Oryzias latipes: one gene and its partner. The protein of the gene in region 1 purifies or fractionates together with the protein of each later gene. This does not show direct contact. Links are inferred from orthologs where the notes say so. Each region holds a gene or a part of one and is shown in the gene's direction. Other genes may lie near its edges.

Region 1 (4,201 bases):
CCAATGGTCTTTCAATTATGATTATGCCGTTTTTAGCAACAACAAAAAAGTGTGTTGCTTTCTAGGACATAGTTTCTGCAGAGCAGCATTCACCGCTGAGTTCTAGGCAGGACTGTTGGTGCTGAGAAAGCCTGTCCTCGTTTCCCAACATCCATTTGTTTACACTCTGTCCTGCTAGCTTACAGCCCCTCACAACCCCAACTTAACATTGGCAGTGCAACAAAAAAATGTGATCTATTTGTCTGCAATTGGATGCATCAGAACGGAACAGAGCATGGAATTTGTGCCCCCCGACTTAAGCACCTACTTCACTGCTACGTGTTTTTTAAAACTGCATTTTTTCATCTGCTCCTGCTTACAATGATTTGAACAAAGAAATACCCAGAAATGCAGTTTTGAACACCAAAAAACACAATTTCACTTGCTCTCCTCTGTGTAGCAGCAGTGCGCATGCGCGTGTGCTCACCTGAACGCGCCGAAGCACACGCTCCCGATCATATAGAAAAGAGAATAAAATATCAGCAGGCAGAGCAGGAGATTGAGCAGCACGGTCTGCAAGACAACACACGAGATGGTCATTTATTCAGTCTAAGATGTCAAGCATGTAATTTCACGTCCTGGGTGTGAGAAACCTGCCGGTTTGTAATAGAGAACATAGTGTTAAAGCAGACTGACTTCGCTTCACTAACAGCGCCTATAACACAAGTAAACCTGGCGTTATAATAAACACATAACACAACTGTGTCATATAATTTGTTAGTATCTGACATACATTATTGTCACTCGACAGACAGAATCGAAAAACATAATTTTAAGTGTTCCAGCCTCGCAGCACAGCACGGCGATGCCCTCCTCTTACCTTTGAATCGACCGCTTTGCCTTTGAATGCCATCTCATGATTTGCACTTGACGCTATACTGGAAAAATATTGCAGAAATGCAGACTGCAGCAGACGCCGCTAATCCTTCACAAACTGGACTCGGCGCGCCATCTAGCGGCAGAGAGGAGACAAGAGGCGGCGCCGCTACACGCCGCTATTATGGTCGAGCTGAACTCATTTCATTTCGTGTCAGAGCGACCTTTGTTAACAAAACAAGAGCTGTATTTTTGGTGTGCAGATTTATATTCATTTAATATAATGGCGTCTCAAAAATGTAGGTGAAATATTAGTTTGGGTAAAAATGCTGCCTACTAAATGAAAAAGAAGGTAATAGAAACGCCAAAACAATCTGGGTTAGCCGCTCAATATTTAGTACTAACACGGGATAAATAAGTCTTAGTAGTACCAGGACTTTTAAACTGAAAATATACAAACAAAACCGCACCGCGCAAATCGAGCTTTTCAAGTTAAAATCACTAAATCTGCATTCAATGATAGAAATGTTGTGATAGCGGCTTTTAAATCAAACATTCTGTTAATATCCGGGGTTAGTTTGGTGCATTACTTTGTCAGGTTCGGTACTTGTACAAACAGGAGGATGGGATGTTTAAGTCCGTTTTTATAGCCGTAGACTGCGGCCAGAAACGACAGTGTTACTAAAGAGCACCGGTGCACCGTCCCGTGATGCATTTGACTTTTTTCAAGTAGTCCTTTCGCTATTTTTGCGCACATTAGCGCATGTTAGCTCGAATACGACACGGAGACTTGGCTAATCGGAGCGCATTAGCACGGACTGTACTGCCAGAGAGTAACGTGGTTCAAATGGGCACGTAAACTGTTTGAACACAGAGGAACTAGACGCTTCTCGACGGTTAATGGAGCGCTGCGGTCCTGCGCTTTATGATACTCCTAGTTCTTGGTGACTTCATAGACTGTTCGTGTTCGGGGTGGGAAGGGGAAAGAGGAACCCCCCGTATCCTGCTGGGAGTATTATTATACTGGTACCGAACTGGGGTTTGGGCGCGTGCTTTGCGCACGCGTGCCTGCTATTGACCACTAAAAGTAAATTGAACTTTTCCGAGACCCAAAGTTGTCAGGCAGCGCATCTTGCACGCATGCGCATCGTCTATCCAGCTCTAAATAAGAGTTAAAACAGAAACGAGGTGAGTTCCACAATTTTCAAAACATTGCGGGCCTTAAATATTATTTATTGACGCGAACGTGGGCTAAATTTAGGGGGAAAACGGAGTTTAGTTTGATAAATAACATTAGTTTGCGTTATTTCCACTCTGATTCAAAACGGCGAGAATAAATCGTTTCTTTTTTCAAGTTTCTATTGAAGAAATAAATCAAGCAACAATGTTTAAGCTTATAACAGTGGCACGATCTTATTGTTTGAGTGCATTTAATATTTTGTTTGAGATCTGCGTTTCGCAAAGGCGTTTTCCCGGTGTTATTAAGTGGGAAACTTATTTATTACGGATCGTCCTTAGCTGGCTGCTTACAGTCACAATGCTAGGGCTAGCCGTGTAGCAGTTACCCGTTCATCTGAAGGGAGGAGGGGGCTAGCTAACTGTTAGCTGCAGCACTAGCTGCTGTAGCAAGCTGGGTTGACATTCCGTGACAAGGGGAAAGTGAAGAAAAATGAGCAGAGTGAATAAAAACACCATCTTGGGAATTACACGGAAAACGTCTGCATTTATTTGACGCACTACAGCTTTGCGATATTTGTTTAAACCGGTAACTTGAGTAATTAACATAGTTTGAACGTGTTGGTGGCCTCTTCCAATGCTCCGCCATTTTGTATAAGACGAATGCTAATCATCATGGGCGCTCTTAGAGACACTTTTATTTATGGCTGGAATAAAACTGAGGTTTCCGGCTTGAAGCCAAACTTGACCAACAATCCATAAGCTAGGATTGTTGTTCACTTTAACACTGGTTATTGCCGCGGCACAAACCAAAAATATCACCTTAATTCGGTGTTGAACATGCGTCAAGACTAAAACGTTTTTGCAGAATAACAGACTTCTTTAAACGTTTTTAAGTTTGGCTAGTGAGTGCAGAAAACAATGTTCTCTGTGAAATGGATGACTAAATATCCGCCTTACTTGCTCGTCACCCGGGAAACAGTCATCTTTAAGAGATACTGTTAAAACAAGGAAAAGATGAACTTGTGTGTTTAATTTAAAGTTGAGACATTTTTCGCCGGGCTTGTCAATGGTCTTGGTCACGGTTTACCCCAACGAGGTCGTTTGTGCGCGTATTTGCCCCTTAGTTTGCCGGTAAAACTGCATTATTATTGACTGTTTTTGTCTGAAATCGAAGTGCATGGTGTACCCGGCGAGCCGGCTCGCCGTCGCCATCTATTGGTGATGTTGCGTAAGGCTGTTTACAAGTGCAGAGAGGAGCTGCTTTTGGTGATTTCGGCTGTTTTCTCGTGTTAAAAACCCTGTCCAACTTTAACAACACAATAAAATGTTTCATCTTAGTCCTGCTGATCGGTTCTATGCATTTGGGTTCCATTGCACATTTCTTTCTTTTGTCACAGTGGTTTCTTGTTACAGGGTGGTCGTATCAGTGGAGTGGGGATGACTGACACTCCACCCAGTGATGGAGCCTCTCAGGGAGCTGAGTTTGACATGATGGGAGCCCTCGACTGGAAAGATGGGATAGCCACTCTGCCAGGCAGCGACATAAGGGTACAGTTCAGGTTTTTTCTGCATTCTGGTCTTTTTTTTTGTACAAAAATTGTCATCATTTTAACTCATGGTGTTTTATATAGTGAATTATCTTGATAATTTGGCCATTGAAATAATCAAAATACAATGTTATCTAGAAAATGGTCATTATATTCAATCAGCTGTTTTTTCTGTTGCTGTTTTCCCCCCTTGGTGCTTTAGTTCCGCATGACAGAGTTTGGGACTCTTGAGATTGTCACAGATCTGGAGGTCAAAGGGCAGGAGGCCGTGTCTAACAGTGAGACCTTGGACCCTGCGCCATCTCACACTCCCACCCCTCCACCAGAGGCCCAATCACAGACAGGCTCAGCTACAGCTCCAGCCAATCAGAATAAAACAGGATCAACTCAAACTAGAGGTATAAAAGCTTGTGTCAAACATTACTTTTATAAAGAACTACACTTTTCAGTTTGTAGAATACACTTTTTTTCCCTATAGTGATTTCTGGACACTGCATCCCCCTTTTATTTGCTCAGTGTTTCAGCGTTTAGTCATGTGTTTGTGTCTTTAGAGGAGGGTGGCAGCACGGAGGCCCCCAACATGGAGGTTGGTCCCAGTCCAGACGTTGGTTCCAATGCAG
Region 2 (3,859 bases), on another chromosome or scaffold:
TCTTGCAAGCTCTTTTTCAGCATGACAAATCAACACGTTTCTAGGATGTATTCCGATTTTCCATACCTATAAGGGCACAGTGTCATCTCCATGGTTTTTCTCTCTTTTTTTTTTTTAATTGTTGGCAAAGTTCGTAAATCCATGTTTCTGTTTGTCGACAAAAGTTCACAGTTTTTACATTTGAAGTTTTAAAGCAATTTTTAGTTTAAAATCTTGAAATTTTTCGGAAGACGTTATGCTGGAATAGATTAATTATTTTAGTATTTTTTAAATCATTTTTGCAACAGTCATAATCAATACTGAAATAGAGTTTGGGGTTATTAATGCTTTATCTCAATTGGTAAATATTTTTGGTCGAATAAAGTACATTTTGTTTGATTAGTCCCAGTTTAATTTTGTATACAGAATAATTTCTCGTTTTATCAATTTTCTGCAATAAAACATTACTTTTTGGGTTTAATTTATAAGTAAGCTGCTTTTTGTGTTTTTGTTTTTTAGAATCAGTAGCCTAAACAAATGGGTTTATTTTTTTTTACCAATTGATCAAGGAAAAAATGTATGTTAAATTTGAATTAATGCCTCCACTTTAACATATTTGGGAATTTCTTCTTTTCCTTGGAAATCAACATAATCAAAAAAGTTTTTTTTTAATTGTTAAAAACAATTTTGTCAAATGTCAAAAATTAAATTATATTTAGAGCAACTCATCATGCCTTTTTCCTGCTAGAAGTAAATGAGAGCCACAGGCAATGTGTTTCTGTTTCCTTCTTCCCATCTGTGTGTTTTGGTGTAAATGATGAAGCTTTTCCCAGAGCCACTTTACAGTGCTAAATAAAAATGGAAACTTAATTTATGAGATATTGTAGCTAGCCACACGTGCCAGTATGGGATCAATAATCTGAACTGTTTCTGTATTTTGTTTGTGACACTTTTTGCACATCATTTCAATGGCTGACACCTTTTCCCACCCATATTTACCTGTGTTTGCAAGGGGATTTTTTTCTTTGCTGTAGCAGTTTTTATGTAACAAAGGATATGTCACAGTAATAAATTTTTTATTAAACATACAACTGTTTGAAGTTAATTTAAACTTTATTTTTAAACGTACATTGCGTTAGTTTGAATTTTCGACCACAAACCTATGAATATGTACTACATTTCCCATGATCCTCTAGTGACGTGGGCGAAGGAAGCAAACGCGAATCAGCTAGTTGGTTTTACTTGATTTTAATTTGATTTTATCAAATAAACACAGCCGTTTATTAATTGGTTAATAATTGAATAAGTAAACAAACCTTTTCTTTGTTGAAATATTCGTGCAGCCCCGACGAGCAATTGTTGTCAAGGTGGAATCTCCCAAAATAAGGTAACTGTTAAATTTTTTATTAGCAGCAGTCGATGCTAACTATCCCTGTTAGCCTAACGTTAGGGTTATTACAAAACACGAAGATGGAACGAGAACTATCTGTCATCGGTTAGGTAACCGTGTGGATTTGTTGTATTTTAAAATATATTCGGGATATTTTTGTGCATCTAAACGACGTGGCGGCGCAGTTTTTAATTTATCACCACAATATTATACAGTTTTCCCCCCTTTTTAAATGTATTTAAAACGTAAATTTAAGTGGGACATTTCCATTCTTGACAAGTGTCGTCGAAGGATTACAACCAGCATTGGTTTAGTCTTTTTCATTAATAGTTAACAATTGGATTATGTGGCTGTTTTTTGCAGCGGACACTCAACTCCACACTGTTAACAGATCAGCAGTGATGGTGTTCAAACTGTTCACACAGTAAGTTCTCCTGAAGTTCTGATGAAAGATTCCTGCAGCTTTACAGGATGTAAGTGAATTATGCTTTTTTTTCCTGCTTTAAAATTCGAGTTTTAGCTTTACATTAGGAGGCTGAAAGTTACTTATGTTCCAGATTTATGCTGTATTGCTGAAACCCCTACAGGCACTTCCGATTCTGCTACAATTAGCTCCTTTATACACTAGTAACTTGATTTCTGGGATGAGATCCAGTTGAATTATTTTTAAACTGTTTTGCTTTGCAATATTAATTAAACCTACAAATTTATGATCAGTATGTTTGTTTTTCTTGCAGCCGGTATGGAAGACAAGGCAAATGGCTCAGTCGACAGCAAAAAGTACTGCTTATTGGAATACATTTGAAAAAATAAAATAAAAACATTGTGTGCTTTTAGGCTCATGAGTTGTGTAACTTTCTCCACAGCCCGGTGGAGAACGGTCAGCTGCCAGACCCGTCCAACTGGGGAGTCGCTGATGTTGTCAACTATTTCAAAGCAACAGGGTTTGAGGAGCAGGCTGTTGCTTTCCAGGATCAGGTTTGTTGGCTTTTTTTCCCCCCCCAACCTCATCAGAAAATGAAATCCTATAAATTAGAGCCCAAAGTCGATACATTTTTTGTTTTTTGTTTTGTCCTCAGGAAATAGACGGCAAATCCCTGCTGCTGATGACGCGTAACGACGTCTTGACGGGGCTGTCGATAAAGCTGGGCCCCGCTCTGAAGATCTACGAGTACCACGTGAAGCCGCTGCAAACCCAGCACCTGAAGATTAACGCCTCATAGCACTGCAGGTCACCCCACGACCCACCTCAGTGACAATCATGCCAGGAGATCCCAGGTTAGCTGCCAAGACTCGTCTGTTCGCGGTGGCGCCTTAACAGAATTTGAATGCTGTAAGCTTTTTCTTTTTTTTTTTTTTTTTTTTTATATATATATATCTGTAGATCCTAAAAATGATCTGCACATGCTGTTGATCCTTTCAACCATTCTTATTTTTGCTGCTTGGCAAGTGTGTTTTTTTTGTTTTGTTTTGTTTGTTTATTTAAAAAGAAAGACGATTAGGGTGTATACTCTGCAGATATGATTGATGCGTGTTTGTGTGTGTTCAAAGTAAATTAAAGTGTGATGAGAAGACCTTTATGTATATAAGATGGTATATATCAAACTTTAAGTTCTGTCTCACCCGGCAGAAAAATGAATTCAGATGCGTCTAATTTTGTCTTAAATTCAGTTTTTATGTTTTGAAGCTGTGTGTGTCAGTTGTCCAGAGCATGTTATAACACATTTTGGTTTTTTTCCTCCGACTCAAGCACCCAACCAAAAGTCTCTTTGTTATTCACAGCAACTAATTTAAGGTTGAGGCTTTTGATATTGAGATATTTATGTGTAAATACTCTGATGTACCTACCTGTGGTGCTCTCAGCTTTGTCGCACAGACAACTGTTTTAAAGTGCGTGTGACCTATGTACATGTTCAACATAACACTGGAGTTTGAATATTCAAATCTACGATTTGCAATAAATGGTGCTTTTTTTCTCACCAAAGAACAACTTCAGCAAACATCTTTATTGGCGGGCACTTTTTTTTTTTTTTTTTCATTTTACATCAAACTTATTCAAGATCAGCTTAAACTATTAGATCCTCATCATGAGAGCTGACAGTAAGTTTGTTGTCCACATGGTTTCAGAAGGACTTTTTTGTTTCGGTGGTTGCTTCAACTGCTTTCAAAGTCGTGCTCGTTTCCTGCATACGGTCCCTGTGATGTTCCCAGAGGGGTTATCCAGAGGAAGATACACCTAATGAGGAGAAAAATGGCACTTTAGCCGCAAAAATACATTCTGTTATGGCCAACATTTAAAGTCACAGAAGGACTTGCCTCGTCTTTGTTGACGAGACCCATTTTTGTCATGTCTATGGTGAAATAATGCTGGTTGGGCATCACGATCTCTATTTCTTCCACCTGGAAGGAAAAAAAATCTTGTCCTATTTTTACAATCACAGAATAAAACAAAATATAAATGCTAATATTTCCTTATAATTGTATTTTGTT

What was found. The genes of interacting proteins can lie anywhere in the genome.
Region 2: the proteins of l3mbtl3 (region 1) and samd13 purify together in Homo sapiens (affinity purification with mass spectrometry; 3 studies listed by BioGRID and IntAct, counting the BioPlex papers as one, with this or other methods). This does not show direct contact. The link is inferred for Oryzias latipes from reciprocal best matches to the Homo sapiens genes L3MBTL3 and SAMD13.

What each region holds. Positions count from the first base shown.
Region 1 is NC_019874.2:17,836,542-17,840,742, forward strand, and holds the start of l3mbtl3 (lethal(3)malignant brain tumor-like protein 3), read left to right. Parts: upstream 1-1,391; 5' UTR 1,392-2,043; intron 2,044-3,447; 5' UTR 3,448-3,471; coding exon 3,472-3,582; intron 3,583-3,783; coding exon 3,784-3,979; intron 3,980-4,132; coding exon 4,133-4,201. Other genes in the region: transmembrane protein 244, read right to left, coding at 467-552, 860-892. UniProt on the Homo sapiens protein: Is a negative regulator of Notch target genes expression, required for RBPJ-mediated transcriptional repression. It recruits KDM1A to Notch-responsive elements and promotes KDM1A-mediated H3K4me demethylation.
Region 2 is NC_019862.2:9,304,473-9,308,331, reverse strand, and holds samd13 (sterile alpha motif domain-containing protein 13), read left to right. Parts: upstream 1-1,160; 5' UTR 1,161-1,366; intron 1,367-1,385; exon of another isoform or gene 1,386-1,479; intron 1,480-1,732; 5' UTR 1,733-1,814; coding exon 1,815-1,842; intron 1,843-2,106; coding exon 2,107-2,149; intron 2,150-2,235; coding exon 2,236-2,347; intron 2,348-2,448; coding exon 2,449-2,592; 3' UTR 2,593-3,359; downstream 3,360-3,859. Other genes in the region: uricase, read right to left, coding at 3,534-3,605, 3,686-3,769.